Linked DNA regions of Drosophila melanogaster. The protein of the gene in region 1 interacts with the protein of each later gene in a pairwise test. Each region holds a gene or a part of one and is shown in the gene's direction. Other genes may lie near its edges.

Region 1 (10,707 bases):
TTATTTCCCCCAGCCAAAATTGGTTACAAGAGAAACCTTATTTTGGAATGCACATGATGAAAACTTAGCTAAATTCTTACAATTTTTACTAAGCCTTATACGTAAAAGGTATAAAGGGGGTCAATAGGTAAATGTACGATTATTGGCTTATAAATTATTAAAGAAGCCTGACAGACATTGACTTTTCCAAAAATCGAACAGGACATTGCGTTGTTTAGTTTTCACAAAGGCATCAAAGGGGGAAAATTTGAAGCCCCTTTAATGGCAATGTCCCTTCTTTTTACCTCCACCCAATGCTCACCTGTGCATCTCTCTATTTCCAGCGGATAACACGGCATCGGGCGCCTCGACAGCTGCACACGAAATCTTCTGGCAGTTCTGGCCATCGCAGCTCACAAAGCTCCCCATCAACAGGCAGTTGGCGGGGGCGTGGCACTGGCTATGTGGGGGCGGTGGAGCGGCTGCTCTTCTCCTTTTTTTCCTGCTGCAGCAAGGGCCGCTGGGCCATCAAATTATCAACTGTCAATACACTAAGCCGGCGACTGGCAAGGTGCAACAGCAACAACGCAACAGCGGCAGCAGCAGCAACATCGAGGTGACAGCTTCAAAAGCGGCAACATCTAGCGCATCTAGCGTCAAATGCTTTTATAATTGTCAAATGGCTATGGCGATGCCAACTCGAAGTCGTGATGATGATGATGACGGTGGTGATGCGTATATTGGCAGCACGAGTGCAAATGCAACGGCAACAGCGACAGCAACTGCCGATGCTGATGCTGCAGATGTTGCTGCTGCAGGAGGAGTTGCGAGTTGCAGCATTAAGCGGCTGTCAGCGACACTTGTGGGGGGCGTCAATGCTGTAAGGGGCGTGGCCAGTGGGCCGGATCAACGATTATTGATGACTCGGCGGCGAGAAAGGCGGCAAAAGAAATCGCAGGCGATGGATGCGATGATGCAGTCGCGTTGGAGCGCGTGCTGATGCCGAATTGATGATGAAATCCATTTTCGAAAGTAGCTTAAGGTGCTCGCCACCGTGCAAAATAGCCAGTATATGGCTCTTTTCCTTTCGCACCCGAATTGTTGAAGGGCATAATTAATATACATTCGTACTCATACTGATTGCATCAGCCAGCTGCATAAATCGATCTGGTCGTAGCTCTTAAGTGTTGAACGCATAAGGTCAGGGAAAGTGCAGTATATATTTAATTATTGGCAGAGCAAAGTCAGCAAGTAGATATTAAACCGATGAATAATAACAGGAAATGAATTAATCTTAGGTAAAATACAACATACGGTGAAACCATTAAATAAAAAGATACCCTGTACGCCGCTATCTCTCAAATCTGTTTTCGGCCTACTCACATTTTCGCAACAGAATTAAACGGAAATATATTGTGCTGTAAAACAGATCACCAATCAATCACATTACTTCCATTAACTATGTGAAACTGTTCTGTTCACTGTTAAAATTAAATATCTATTTGTCATATTTATTATTTTGTAAAAATAGTAACACATTTTATTTTCAGCTAGACACACTTTTCAGACAATAATATCAACTCAATAAGCATATATGAATGCTACAGCAAGGTATTTTCACTTTTTATTCCCGATACTTTCGAACAGATCTTTACTGTAAAAAATAAAAGATCACAATAAGCCACGACAAATGGCTCTCAGTGAAGAGAACATTAAGAGATGCGGAAAGTCAAACCAAAAATGCACAGTTGCCTGGGCACTGGGCACGTACAGGGTGAGAAAATGCGTGTGCTCAGTCACTGAAAATCAAAATGTACTTAGAATAAATACTATGTACTTCAAACTCTTATGTTATATATCAAGCGTTAAATATATTCAAATAAAAAATCAAAAAGTTATAGGAATTGTGCACAGTGTACAGCAAGCTGAACTTTAGACTGCACTTGAGCTTAGCTTTCGGGTACCGTAGTGCATTTTAAAGTGGGGTTTTGACAGCTTCAAAATTGTAAACAACCGAATATAATTTAAGTCAATACTAATACCCGTTACTTTTAGAGTAAAAGAGTGTTCTAGATTAGTGGAATCGTTTGTAACATTATAAGGTATTCATCTGAGTAACGGGTATCTTATAGTCGAGAGAATCGACTATAACTTTATTTTGTTTGTTTTCTCCTTTCAGAATGAAGAAGACATTATGTCAATGTGTAAATAAAAGCTTAAAACCAAGCACAAAATTAATATTTTGTAACATCCACTGTACAGAAAGGAACTTTTTACGGTTGTGGAAATGAAAAGCAAAATTAATTATTATAGCAAGCGTTTATTTGTAGAAAACAACGAATACATAGAGCAAATTAAAACGAAAAAGAATCTTTATTTTCAAGTCTTGTTTCGGCAATATTAAAACTCGATGAAAGCAAAAGAATTATTTGAACATTTTTGGCCAACAAAAATCCAGCGGTAAATAGTTCCTTTACCTTAAACACAATTCAATGTATGCAATGGGTAATCGTAGCCCAAAAACAAATGAAAATGTATATTAAAAAAAAATAACAATAATAAAAAATAAATGTTGAATAATTTATAAATTCAGTACATATATTTAAAGTGTAAATAAAATGATAAAACGTAATAATAAAACTTATGAAATATAAATTAATTGGTGTACATGCAAAAACAAGTAATACAAATAGATAATTATATAATAATAAACTGCATGCCGCCAGATTTTTGTAATCAAATCGTGTTGTGAAAGTTGTCTTCCCTAATTTATGCCCATTACATTAAAACATTGACAGGGGATTTTAATTTTAATTTCAGTATGGTTTCAATTATGGCCAATATATATAATAAACTATAACCATATGTATAAGAATGTAAAAAGCTAGTTTTATGTACATAAAAATGGGACAAACATTTTGATGTTACTGAATAAATATTAAAAGTATTAACCAAGAAATATGAAAGTAGGATAAAAAAACAGTGAATGTTTCCAGCTGCTAGGAAAAACGATAAGTCTTAGATCTATAAAGAGAATCAAAAACGCGGTCAAATGCATAGCACATAATATATTCATATCCCCAATAAATAACCCGAAATGTGTAAAGCCAGAATAAATGTAATAATAAGATTGAAGAAAACAAAATAGTGATGTAAAATAGCAGCAAGGAAATAAAGTAACCCCTATTCAATAACTATTGCTGACGTCTTTTACTCGTACATGTCATCATTTAATTACGTAATTTAAGTTTGGTTTATTTAAAGTTTGATTTCCGGTTGTACAAGGGTGAGCGTACTTTTAAAACCCACTGTATATAAATACTTTGGTAAAGTGCAGGTTGGGGAGTTTCAGAAGCTTGAAAAGCTCCGTTTCCCGTTATAAAGCTATTGCTGAATATCCGTTATCCAGTTGGCTGGCAGCTTTTTAAGGTTGTTCGTGCACTGGCTTCACTCCCCACAGAACACAGAGCTTTTGGATCTGAAGGTCAGTTGGGACTGGGACCCACATGCCGAGCTTAGTTTGATAGTCAGCGCGCTTTAATGACGACAACTGCACGGCGCGCACAACCCATTAATAATATATTAATTCAAAAGAGCTATAAAATATTAAAAAATATTCAAATATAACTAACTAACGCGCAGTGCACGATTTTCTGACAACAATTCAGTTTCGCTTTTCATGAGACTCCATTGCATTTTCCTTTGTGTTTTTCACACACGTGGTGTTTTTCTGTTACTCGCACTTCGATAGTGGTTATTTTTTTTGGTTACATTGAAAAAATACACCGACTGCCAGCCGAATTCCCATTCGAACCTTAATTTGACCAATTGACGGAAAATTAATTGCGCCCAAAATTAATTAGCAAGCGGATATACAATTTTTTTACGTGAAAAGAGCGTGTTATTTGTCGAAAAGATTTTACAATTGATTGTGTTTAAGTAAATTAACCTGCGATATCTATGTGTATGTGCTACGATCCGAATTTCTGACATTACGGTAAGTGGCGTGTTTTTGGCGGGAATAAAGTCGGTTTCTCTTTGTGCCGTATTTCTCTACCGTTTTTTCTGGCGCCAAAATGAATGAAAACGGTTGGCAACATTTCAAACTTAACATTGCAACATTCTAACCGCTGTTAAGCGTTTGCTCTGCAAATTGTTGTAGCTATGTTGGAGTTCTGGAACACCACCTCTCCCTGCGACTTTGTTTTGTTTTTCGCTCTCGACATATGGAATCGAATCTCTTATTCCGGGAGCGGTTCATTGACCCAGCAACAACAATATTCGCCAGATTTTCTCCTGCCAGCGATTTGCGGAATTCATCCGCTCAACAGTTAGAAGTAAATGCCGTCGAGCAGCGGGCAAAATCGATCGACGAAATCGAGAGCCGCGTTCAGTTGCCTTCAAGCCGTACTTAGAAGAAGTGCTGGTCCCCCAGAAATCAGAGAGATTTTTCCCAACTTGCATTTTTCCAATACTCTGACAAAGCCCCTCAGACCGTCGCAATCACACAGCTATATACTGATATATAGATCTCTATTGCGCAGATCACACCTTAAATGCCTTTCGTCGAGAGATTTCAACAAATACGTAATTTTGTTATGAACGTCTGCCTCGTCGAGGCCATCCAATTCGTCCAGGACCTCTCGCACGCCATCTGTCTGGACCTCCAGGGCCTATTTAATCTCAAGTAGAGATCACCGAGCGATCTCCCAGCGGTAAGTTACGCCATTGGTTTTTGGGCACAAGGAAGTGAAAGTGAAGACACGGGTGAAATTACGGTTTTCGGGATCTCGAGAGAAAGGGGAAAGTACGAACCTCATGGCAGCAGCACTCCATTTTGAGAGGTTATGTGAAAGAACACACAAGAAAGTTTGGAATTTTCGACAGGCGGCGAACCAATAATAATGTTGTTATCCATAATAATATTAATTAGTGAATTTTTATTTCACCTTTTCGCGGCATTATTCTCACAAATTTATAAGACAGATTTTCAAATTAAGACAGAAAGTTTTTTAATGTTAGTGAAAAGTACTTATTCCAGTTGATAGTTAAATACTATTTACCGCAAAAAATTAAAAGAGAACTAAATTTAAAGGTAAAATCGTTTTTTTTTTTGGAAAGTGCATTGCTTAAATTATGGTACCGACTATCAAAATAAAAATAATTAATTTTTATATGGTGTTTCAATATTCACTTTAAATTACCTATGACTCGCTTTCTAACCACTCTCTTCTTATTACGAACATCAATTTTCTTGTTACATCATTTCGGACCTTTCATTTTTCATCACCAGCTCATCCCATCAATTCAGATACACTTTACTTCATTAAGTAGCAGCAATCATCTAACAAAGCTGACCAAACAACGGACCGGCTTCCAGAATCCTTAACTGAGACGGACGTTTTGCTTGGTTTTTAAAACTAAACGACTTTTTGGTACCCACACCTGTTGACCTCTGACGAATTTCTCGATCCACTGACCGATCCACTGATCCAGTGATCATCATCATCATCCGAATTCCACAATGTTGTCCTGTGCCTCTTTCAATAAACTGATGTATCCGTCGGCCGCAGATGTTGCCAAACCGCCAATGGTGGGCTTGGAGGTGGAAGCTGGATCCATTGGATCCCTGTCCAGTCTTCACGCCCTTCCATCGACCACCTCGGTGGGCAGTGGAGCCCCCAGCGAGACGCAGAGCGAGATCTCCTCCGTGGATAGCGATTGGAGTGACATACGCGCCATCGCCATGAAGTTGGGCGTTCAAAACCCAGACGATCTCCACACGGAACGTTTCAAGGTGGATCGACAGAAATTGGAACAGTTAATAAAAGGTAATGCCTTTATATATAAAAATAATAGATTCCTTATTATACATTGCCTTTTTTCTGATAGCGGAGAGCTCCATTGAGGGAATGAATGGAGCTGAATATTTTTTCCATGACGTGAGTACATATTTTTAAGTTTTGGGCACCTATTAGCTTCACACTTTCTTTTGTCTCATTTTGAGACACAGAATGCCATGCCTTATAAATATTGAACATATAATAATATGTTTCCTATTCAATAGTATATTAAGTTATTTAGTTTTTGAGCAAAATTTTTAAGTTAATTGATTCATGTCTTTGTTTGGCAATCTGACTTTGCATCTATAAAATTTCAGTGTATAACCCAATTTGTTTTAAGATACTGTTAGGACCGACTCTTTTGACTTGATATAAAAGAATTCGCCATATATCCAAAACATATTCTTTTACTAGATCATGAACACTACGGATACTTATGTGAGCTGGCCTTGCAGACTCAAAATTGGTGCCAAGAGCAAGAAGGGTAGGATATTGAAATATTTTCAATGTTCAAGAGTATTTTTCAAATAAATCCCATAATTTAAAGATCCCCATGTGCGAATTGTGGGAAAGGTGGATCAGGTTCAGCGGGCAAAGGAGCGCATCCTTAGCAGTCTTGACTCCAGGGTGAGTGAGCCAAAGCATAATACAAACTTATCTGTTTTAATTGTTACCCATTTTTCTCCGAACAGGGCACTCGAGTGATCATGAAAATGGACGTCAGCTACACGGATCACTCGTACATCATCGGACGAGGTGGCAACAACATCAAGCGCATAATGGACGACACGCATACCCATATCCACTTCCCCGACTCGAATCGCTCCAATCCCACGGAGAAATCCAACCAGGTGTCGCTGTGCGGCAGCCTAGAGGGCGTGGAGCGAGCCCGGGCTCTCGTTCGGCTCTCCACACCGCTGCTCATCTCCTTCGAGATGCCCGTAATGGGACCCAACAAGCCGCAGCCCGACCACGAGACTCCCTACATCAAGATGATCGAGACCAAGTTCAATGTTCAGGTGAGTTCCAGATGTCGGAGTCAACTAAGTGTAAGATTATAAATTAATTATAAATTAATCATGGCATGTTACCAAATATTATTTGCATTTGACTATAATGGCTTGATTAGTTTAACTAATTTAGGTAAGATTTTGTAATATACATTCATACATACATTTAAGAGGGGGTATAGAAAATGTCAAATTTTTTTTTCCCAACCCTTGAGAGTTGTGATTATATATTGCTCCATTATAATTTTATCAACTGATGTTACATTAGGCTAATTTTGCAGTTGTGTTATTATTATATATTTTTAAGTGATTTAGAACGCATTTAAAGTAATAAAGTTACTTAAACGTTATTTTCGAATTTGGCAACCTTAAATTACAACCAAGGATTTTTGTAAACAGTTTTTTCGTTGCTCTTAATTATTATTGAATATATTTTAAAGATTTTTCCTCCTTTCAGGTCATATTCTCCACGCGTCCAAAATTGCATACCTCGCTGGTTTTGGTCAAGGGATCCGAGAAGGAATCGGCGCAGGTCCGAGATGCCACGCAGCTGCTGATCAACTTCGCCTGTGAGAGTATTGCGGTAGGTTCGAGAAGGATAACTCAAAATAAGGCTCATCAGCGAATCCTTTTTCCTTTTTAGAGCCAAATCCTGGTGAATGTCCAGATGGAGATCTCGCCGCAGCATCACGAAATCGTCAAGGGCAAGAACAACGTGAATCTGCTGAGCATTATGGAGCGAACCCAGACCAAGATCATATTCCCCGATCTGAGCGACATGAACGTGAAGCCCCTGAAGAAGTCCCAGGTCACGATCAGCGGACGCATCGACGACGTCTACTTGGCGCGACAACAATTGCTTGGCAATTTGCCCGTAGCATTGATTTTTGACTTTCCGGACAACCACAACGATGCATCCGAAATAATGAGCCTCAACACCAAGTACGGCGTCTACATCACGTTGCGCCAGAAACAGCGGCAGAGCACCCTGGCCATTGTGGTCAAGGGAGTGGAGAAGTTTATAGGTAAGATCTCTAAAGCAATGTGTAAAGTGTATGATTTTCGTTGATTCTGCATTAATATACGATTGCACTTTCCATTATTGTTTGATTTTTATCCCATATTTTCCTTACTTTTTAGATATATTATACAATTTAAGATATTTAGCAAGTGCTGAATTAAATTTCCGTATTAATCCGTTGTTGTCACCCTCCTTAGACAAAATCTACGAGGCCCGCCAGGAGATCCTGCGCCTGGCCACGCCATTCGTGAAGCCCGAGATCCCCGACTACTACTTCATGCCAAAGGACAAAGACCTTAATCTCGCCTACCGCACCCAGTTAACTGCTCTGCTGGCTGGGTATGTGGACAGCCCGAAGACTCCATCGCTGCTGCCGCCCTCCTTGGCTGGCCAACTGACGCCCTATGCCAACAACAATCACCTGTTGTTGAACGCCAATGGCTTGGCCACGCCCACTGGGGTGTGTGCGCCCACCCAAAAATATATGCAGTTGCACAACAGCTTCCAACAGGCTCAGAATCGTTCCATGGTGGCTGGTGGGCAGAGCAACAATGGCAACTATCTGCAGGTTCCTGGAGCGGTGGCGCCGCCTCTCAAACCGCCGACTGTTTCGCCACGGAACAGCTGCAGTCAGAATACCAGTGGTTACCAGAGCTTTAGCAGCAGCACCACCTCCCTGGAGCAGTCGTATCCGCCGTATGCCCAATTGCCGGGCACCGTGTCGTCCACTTCATCCTCCACCGCGGGAAGCCAAAATCGGGCGCATTATTCGCCAGATTCCACTTACGGCAGTGAGGGTGGTGGCGTTGGCGGCGGAGGTGGTGGTGGGGCGCGTCTGGGACGACGCCTTAGCGATGGAGTGCTGCTGGGGCTGAGTAATTCCAACGGTGGAGGAGGTAACTCCGGAGGAGCCCACCTCCTGCCCGGCAGTGCCGAGAGCTATCGGAGTTTGCACTATGACCTTGGAGGAAACAAGCACTCCGGCCACCGTGCCTTTGACTTCGACATGAAACGGGCCCTGGGCTACAAAGCCATGGAGCGCACCCCGGTGGCAGGGGAGCTGCGAACACCCACGACCGCTTGGATGGGAATGGGCTTGAGCAGCACCTCGCCCGCCCCTGCCCCGCTGGAGAACGGGGAAAATGGGGCTGCTGGTGGAGGAGCATCTAGTGGGTGGCGGCTGCCACCAGGACTGGGTTCCCCTTACGGACTGAGTGCCACCACCGGACTCCTGGACGCCACTCCAGTCAACCGACGGATGCAGCTAGCCAAGCACAAGGACATCCAGACTCTGCTCACCAGTTTGGGTCTGGAGCACTACATCAGTGAGTAGCTCCGCCGATCATGTCCGTTTTTACCAACTGTGTACTAGAAGTCTTTTATAAAGCTATCATATATGTCTGGCTTGAACTGGAGAGTGTTTTATTTAACGCAAACGTTTTTTCACAGTCATAGATAAAGTTACATAAAGTTCAACATCCATATAGCATTTAAAATCAAACTATTTTATATTTACAACCTGGGAAAACTACAGTTTTTATTTCTCCTTTCAGAAATATTCGTTCTAAACGAAATCGACCTGGAGGTGTTCACCACCCTGACCGAGGAAAACCTGATGGAGCTGGGTATCGCGGCGTTTGGAGCTCGCAAGAAGCTGCTGACGGCCATTCACACGCTGCTGGCCAACGAGGCGGCCTGCAGCACAATGCCCAGCAGCAGCTCCTCGCAGAACTCCTCGTCGCCGCGATTCTCCGGAAGTGCGGCCCCAGGCGCAGAGCGCCGTCCCTCCAACCAGTGGTGATCCGCTCCTGTCGTTCGACCCCATTGCCTCGAATTCTTTTTTTCTTTTTTTTTTTGCATGCCCATTTATTTGGTAGTCGTAAGATCAAGAGAATCGGAACGGTAAAAAGTATAGGAAGAAGTCAGGAAGAAAATGGCAACTCCCTGGGCGAATAGCTTTCCCGCACAACACAGCCTTGACCTTGACTTATACTCGCATTTGTACTCAAATTCCAAGTAGCATAGCTGCGCTCGGGAAAGTGCACAGTTTTCCCAGTGTGCCAATAGGTCGTAGTTGCCTTTATTTTAAGCGATTAATTTATTTTGAAATTATTTATATAGGAAACCGTCTTAAGCAAAAAAAAAAAATATTGTGAATTATTTATGAAATCTAACTAAACGAAATCACTTGTTGTAAGAAATGAATTTATGTAAACTAACTGAAAAAGAAAAAAAAATTAAAAACAAAAGCACAGCATGTATTAAGTGATAAGCAAAATAGTCACGCACAAACATTTGATATGAATAAATTGATGTCTATGAAAAATCAACTAAATATATTTTTTAGTAGATTATTAGATTAATATGATTTGCTTAATTTTGTAGAAACATTTGTAATATATGTACATTAAGTCGTTGCCGCTTTGAACTCTTTTAGCCTGGTTGGAATAGAGGTTAATGACTTTATTGTCTCCAGTTGTCTGCATAATTTGTATTGCCTCGCCTCGTGCCAAGAAGTCTTGCAAAGCAACAAAATCGAATGTGTGTCCTTACACGAACTAAACGGGCGGCAAAAGGGGCGTGGCTGAGCTAATGAACTGGAAATGTTTTGCTCCAGTTGCCGGTGGTTGCTACCGTGTTGCATCAGCATAATTGCAAATTTTTATGATTATGACACTTTGGGCGCAAAGTGCCTTTGCCAATGGCAACTAATTTCTGCAGCCATCTCAGTCCCAGTCTGGTGGTCATCTACATGGGGCTATGCTCCACTTAAGTACTTCGAGTGGGCTTTTGCGGGACATTTTGGCAAGCGGCTTGATTTACAATTATGCTGGATTTGAATTTGGATCCCAAG
Region 2 (6,581 bases), on another chromosome or scaffold:
ATCTGCGTAGCTTCTTTCAGTTCTACGATGTGCCCATCAACAGACGCCATCACATGTGCGTCTCGCTGGCGTTCGAAATCATGGCCAGGATGGTGCAGATGTTCCCGGTGCTGGCCAACTACTTGTACGTTGTGTCCTGCGAGGAGCAGGTGATGGACTGCAACGACTACGTTCAGTTGGACGAGGAGTGCGGCCTTAATTCGGTGGACGCGGGTGTGGAGAAGGAGCACGTCATGGTCGCCATGCGCATCGCCATCGGCGATCGACGGGGTGTGATGATCCTGGACCCAGGTTACCATGTCAGCCGAGCGGTGACTGTTATGCAGGATCAGAGCTATCCGCACACTGGTGAGTTGTAATCTCCGCTTAGCCTATTGTAATACATATATACTGATGGATGCAATATGTTTCTAGGCTGGTTCACCCAATCCAAGGAGCCGCATCTGCAGCGTGATTATTGCTATGCCTACAGTCAGCAGAATGGGAAATTCGTGGAGTGGAAGGAGCGCGAGATCCGTGGCGAGGATACCAGCTACAAGACATCGCTGATCTACGTGGCCCAAGAGTACATCACGGCCATCGACGTGACCGTGCGCCGCAATCTGGTGTACAACTTCCGATCGCTACTCTCCCGCGATGCCAAGGGTCAGGTCTATGCGGGCATCTACTTCCCGCTGGTGGCCAATGGGCAGGAGGCCTACCTCACCATCTTCTACGACGGACCCAATGAGCAGCGAGTGCGGACGAAGCTGATGTTCAGCGCGTTTAAAGTGGGCAAGGGAAAGGTAAGGATCACTGATAGCTATAGCCAATGGTTACCCATTACTAACCCAGTTATTATCACCCATCAGCTGCCGGACTATGTGGGTCAACATCTTAGCAGGCTGGCGCCGCAATTGAAGATACCGCTGCCGGAATTGACCGAACTGTGCAAATCCCTGGCCGAGGTGGTCACCGACCAGAGCTTCATCAGCCAGGTGCTGGCCATAAACGATGACATCGGCAACATGTCCGTGGAGAATTGACAGTTAAAGGAGCCTAAGGATGTCGCTGCTACGGAAACGGAAACGAAGATGGAGGAACAGGCGATAAAAGACATTGACAACGCAGCTGCAACTTAGAGTTCCGAACCTATTTGAATACTTTGAATACTTTGTCCTTTCCACAGTAATATTCTTTTTAGTAGCATATAGGCACCTCTTACACCAGCACACACGATTCAAGTATATATTCAATTTAGTCTAGTATATATTTCAAAATATTTATTCACCTATAAACACGACAACACGCTCTATATGGTAATCCCAACTGAATTATTTAATCGAAAGCGAAACGAAATTTTATTCAAAATATTTAAAAGAAATGCGCAAAGTTTAGACTTCAATGTTTCGCTTAGGTTCTTCTAATTTCAAACTATATATATACTTATGCGCAACTATATAATGGCAAAATTAGTTATAACTGGTATCAAGGCAAAACATAAATTGTAATTGTTGTACGAACATATTTCCGTTTAAACACTTAAATGCACTGTACTATTTCGGTTCAATAAATAAATCAGCTAGCAAAAGAAAGAAGGTATTTTGTTGGGAGACTTAAAACATAATTTTACTTGAACTTTAACTAACATGAAAAGATTAAAGGTGTATTATTGCCTTAAATTTGAATTTCGATATTTTTATGGCAGTGATATCGATTAGTTTGGTAACAGTAGCTTAACATAGAATAGACATGTTACTGTTAATAAGCTTAGCTCAACATTTAGGTATTTTTTGCACACGCAAACTCTGTTTCTCTGTAATAAAAACATTTGTTTAAAAACCTCAGGTTTCTTATGATTTACAAATGAATAAGGACAAAATAAAGAAAAATGCATACTGACGGCAGATATCGATGATTACATCAACAATCGATATTTTGAAACAGAGAAAGTGCAGCCCTGGTGCCATCGATGTATATCCACCTTGGATTTTCGCTTGTCTGCAGTTATTTCAATTAAGTTGTTTCAAATCAGCGTTTTTGTGAGTGCACACTAAGGTAACAACACGCCGACCGACCCGCTTAACCATTGCATAACCACGTAATTGTACAATATCAGCTGTTTTTCTGCGTGATCAGCCGGCAAGTGGGTAAAATTCACCTGTTGACCAGCGGCAATAAGCCAAAACAAAACAACAACAATCGTGGATCAAGTTCTTGGCGGAAAGGCGCGCAATTAAAACCTAACGTTCAGTTCGCTTTTGAATTTCTCGCCGAGCGGTTGTGGCGAAAATAAGGGCCCGCTGGAAAAACCGGTTTTCAAACACCAGCGATTGATCCTCTTCGAAAACGTGAAAGAAAACAAAAAGACGAGGAAGCGCCGCCGCAGCCTTTAATTGAAAAAAAGGGTGTCAATATTAGCATAGAAATCGAGGCACAGGTGCATTTTCGTCTGCGTCAGCCAAATTGAAGGTAAAATTGAAAAGCCCTCTGCAAGGGCAACAACAATAGAAAAAGAAAGTTAACCATATGCAGCCAAATTAAAAACGACCGCGGCAACAACAGTAAAACTGCTAAGCTTTTGCGTTTTGTTGACGGAAGTCGAAACTCTTGACAGCACGTTCGTGGTGTCATGCGTACACACAGAAAAAATGGAATTACTTTATGTGAAAAATGAAAAATTCATACAAAACCTATTTCTAATTTGTAGTGAAGTTCTTATCTTTTAAGTGCAATCTATTATAAAAGATAAAGCAATTAAGAGAATTTCAAACAACCTTCACTCAAGAAAAATAATTCTATTTCCTTAACTTTCTTAAAATGGAAAACCATTCTGCGCAGTACAATTTGTAAATATTTTTATATTTTACACCAATACTAAAGAGTTTTTCGCAGTGTACTATGCTAGGTCGTCCGTACAGATATTTCCCCGCTGCCCCCGCAAGAAGAGCCCAAAGAAACCGACCCTAGTTGTTGCTGTTTAGCGCCTCAGTCATTTTCAGCTCTGGCCCCAAATTCACTATTTTGGCCCCGTTTATTGGCTTTGGCTCGAAGCTCGGCTCTTCAACTTTCATTCCGCCGCTGTTTGGGTTTTTAATTAGCATTTTACGAGCACACCTAAGCCAGTTCTCTCGCTGTCTCCCAATAAACGCGCTCAACTATCTTCTGTCTAATTAATTTAATTGTTTCCCCGCCCGATTAAAAATTAAGATTCCAGTGCAGCGCTCAAAGTGCAGGTGGCAAATATGCACTGCAAATATCGGTGGCCAAACAATCGCGTTAGCTTTATAAGCCCGGCTAACCAACGCTGGAAATTGCTGGGCAAATAAGAAAAAACTGAGGGAAAGAGGCAACAACTCAAGCTATTCGACGGCCAATGGGGTCAAGTCGATTTCAGAACACGCTCTCTGATAAATATCATTAAAAAGTTTATTAATTATTAGACTTCTATCCCCAAAAATGGGGTTTCCTGGTGAAAATTCTGAGATTTCAAACATCATTCTTGTTACTCTGTCGAATTAGGATTAGTGCGTTAAAACAGCACTTTTGTAAAAGCCTTTTTAATTGATAGCAAAGATCATTCTACAAAAAGTTCGAGCTTTATAATTAAACCACATTTTTAAGTGATTAGTTACTCTCTACTGTTACGCCAACTTGATAGTATAAAGGCATGATAATTGTAGAAGCTCGACTATTCGCAGCTGAATCGTGACACGAATCAATCTCTGGCAAGTATATATGGCCAACACACCTAGAATTCCAAACGAATATGGCCAACAGATGTACCCGCTGGCACTCGGATCGCGAAATCTTGCTGACTCAGTTGAAGAGTTTCGCAAAGTGCACTCGAGGCGAATTTACCCGCCAATATTGATAATGTTGCCGGCTAATGGCTAATGTCTGTGACGAACCAGGATCGGTTTTCGTTATCAGCCGGCGCACTTTGCCCGATTTCTTATCAAAACCCGTATTCCCTTTGCAGAGTTCCGGAGAGACGGCGATCCGATCCGATAAGAGCGTATAATGTTGGGAACTTTGCTGTGGATTTTCTTCGTCGGCCTGCTGCTGTGTGCGTTCCTCTTTTCGAAGACCACCAAGGAGTTCCCGAAGTCCTGGTTCGAGTGGAAGACTGAGTTTCGGTATCAGTACCTGGGAATCGTTGGGCTCGTCCACGATGCCCAGTATAAGGCACGGGATCGAGTGGGTAAGTCAATTTGCTAGCCGATGCTTATTCCACGATCACTAATTGTTGCCATTATCCATTAAGCACTTTATAAACAACCGGACCGCATTGCTGTCATCACCGGAGGCAATCGCGGCATCGGACTGCGGATCGTGGAGAAGCTGCTGGCCTGCGACATGACTGTCGTCATGGGTGAGTTGACCAATCTCCGCCCAACAACTTGTTTCAGGCCTATTCCTATCCATAAGTCGGCGATCTGCTTATGAATTCCACAAACATTTAACCGTGCTGCAAGTGCACGTGCTCGGCAAGCTAAAATCGAACATCGAATAAACGATCGTCGAAATGCAGATCCATTCCCACCCTTGTCAATGCGATACAGAAATCATGACCCATTCTCCTGATTTCATTATCTAACCAAGTCGCGTAAAAGTCTCGATTTTCGGGAAAGACAAGCGATAAGAGTTCATTGACTGGTCGGAGAAAAGAATTCTAAATTTCAATGAAAAGGGTCACAGTTATCAATAATTATTTTGTATTTTCTCGTTAACATTTTTGAAAATGGCATTTTTTGTTGCTTTTCCAATTTCTTGCTTTAATACGTTTACTTACAATTTCACTGCATATTTTAGTCTCTAAGAAAATTCATTTATTAAGAAATCATTTTTTTTTTTAAATATATTTAATTTTATTGTTAGTGCTAGTTAAAATAATAAACATTTTAATCATTTAACAGTCAACTGTTATTTTCTACATTGAACTTATGTAAAATGTATAGATGTAAAAACCAGAGCTTGAAGTGCGCTATACAGGCGCTAGGTGTCGCTTATATTGCTTATATTTTGTGTAAAATAGGGTAGATTAGAAAACACTCATAAAAAAGTGTTTTAAAGGATATTTATTAATTAAGTTCTGTCCTCTCAGCAATTTTTGTCAGTGGCTCACTTTAATTTATGCATTTATTGCAGGCGTTCGTGATCCCAAAATTGCCGAAACCGCAGTTGCATCGATAGTCGACTTGAATGCTACCAAGGGCAAGCTCATCTGCGAGCAACTGGATGTTGGGGATCTGAAATCCGTAAAGGCATTTGCTCAGCTCATCAAGGAGCGGTATTCAAAAGTGGATTTGTTGCTGAACAATGCTGGCATCATGTTTGCGCCCTTCAAACTAACCGCCGATGGCTACGAGTCGCACTTTGCCATCAACTTCCTGGGACACTTTCTGCTCACCCACCTGCTTCTGCCTCAATTGAGGGCGGCAGGCAAGGAGGGAAGGAACTCCAGGATCGTGAACGTCAGCTCCTGCGTGAATCTCATTGGACGCATCAACTATAAGGACATTAACGGAACGTACGTTTGAGTAATTGTCGCCTAAGTTCCTTATTTACTAGGTTTTACTGCTTGCAGAAAACACTATTACCCGGGAACCGCCTACAGTCAGTCAAAGCTTGCTCAGATCTTGTTCACCCGCCATCTGCAGACACTGCTGGATGCAGAAAAGTCGCACGTGCAGGTCAATGTGGTGCATCCGGGCATTGTGGACACGGATCTGTTCGAGCACTCGGCCACCACATCGGTGCCCATTTTCAAGAAGCTATTCTTCAAGACTCCGGAAAGGGGATCCCGCACGGTGGTCTTCGCGGCCATTGATCCCTCCATCGAGGGTCAGGGTGGTACTTACCTCTCCAACGGCGGAAAGGGTCCTTTCCATCCGGATGCCAAGAAGCCGGCAAAGTGCGAGCAGCTTTTCCAGTTCTCCTGCGACCTGTTGAAAATCCAGCAGTACGGAAATGGCGAATACTAAATGAACTCCACACTCAGTCTATCTCACATTCCTCCTACTGGTGCAACGTACTTTTCTAGATACCGTCAGCTTTTTTGTAAATCGATTTCTTTTGTATAAAAACATTTTTATATAGAACTGCAGCTGGTGTTTTGTGTTCAGGATCTGCTGATGCTAATCTGGTCAAATTGCTGTGCTAGGTTTTAATTAACTTGTCTGCGCTTGATTGCCATCGTGGGGCTAGGGAATGCAATTAAAAGAGCTGCAAGAAACATTTATTTGAAAATGCACTCAGCAGTTGGCGGCGGCAGCTTGAAAGGTGACAACAACAACAACAACCACGTCATATCTGCTGTATGTCAAATTTTCGAAAAAGCAAACAATTTAATTTTGTGCGCCTCCTCAAACAATGAGCGATTAACATTCAACATTTTGGAGGAATTTTAATCGACTTCAGTTAAGGGGACAGGAGTATGGGGGTTCCAGGAGAGCGGTACGGAGACGGAGGAACTCAGGTAGGTAGGTGTATCATCTCGAAAAACAACTGCGAAGCAACTACAACTCGACTGTCACTTAAGCGAACTGAACGCTTAAAAGCGAACGACATGATGGCTGCAAAAAAAAAAACAATCTCAT

What was found. The genes of interacting proteins can lie anywhere in the genome.
Region 2: the proteins of BicC (region 1) and CG11200 interact in a two-hybrid assay, tested with the Drosophila melanogaster proteins (one large-scale study listed by BioGRID).

What each region holds. Positions count from the first base shown.
Region 1 is NT_033779.5:16,038,552-16,049,258, forward strand, and holds BicC (bicaudal C), read left to right. Parts: upstream 1-3,495; 5' UTR 3,496-3,976; intron 3,977-4,365; exon of another isoform or gene 4,366-4,523; 5' UTR 4,524-4,535; coding exon of another isoform or gene 4,536-4,670; 5' UTR 4,671-4,694; intron 4,695-5,272; 5' UTR 5,273-5,503; coding exon 5,504-5,810; intron 5,811-5,871; coding exon 5,872-5,921; intron 5,922-6,000; exon of another isoform or gene 6,001-6,236; coding exon 6,237-6,306; intron 6,307-6,369; coding exon 6,370-6,449; intron 6,450-6,514; coding exon 6,515-6,841; intron 6,842-7,289; coding exon 7,290-7,415; intron 7,416-7,475; coding exon 7,476-7,857; intron 7,858-8,050; coding exon 8,051-9,178; intron 9,179-9,406; coding exon 9,407-9,654; 3' UTR 9,655-10,075; downstream 10,076-10,707. Other genes in the region: beat-Ic (beaten path Ic), read left to right, coding at 324-979; CG45084 (uncharacterized protein), read left to right, coding at 4,536-4,670. UniProt on the Drosophila melanogaster protein: RNA-binding protein that is involved in oogenesis. Required for correct targeting of the migrating anterior follicle cells and the establishment of anterior-posterior polarity in the oocyte. May act as translational repressor of oskar during oogenesis.
Region 2 is NT_033778.4:20,304,017-20,310,597, reverse strand, and holds CG11200 (uncharacterized protein), read left to right. Parts: upstream 1-1,926; 5' UTR 1,927-2,037; intron 2,038-2,098; 5' UTR 2,099-2,451; intron 2,452-3,961; 5' UTR 3,962-4,002; coding exon 4,003-4,183; intron 4,184-4,246; coding exon 4,247-4,354; intron 4,355-5,130; coding exon 5,131-5,512; intron 5,513-5,569; coding exon 5,570-5,966; 3' UTR 5,967-6,081; downstream 6,082-6,581. Other genes in the region: CG13868 (uncharacterized protein), read left to right, coding at 1-348, 415-785, 852-1,025.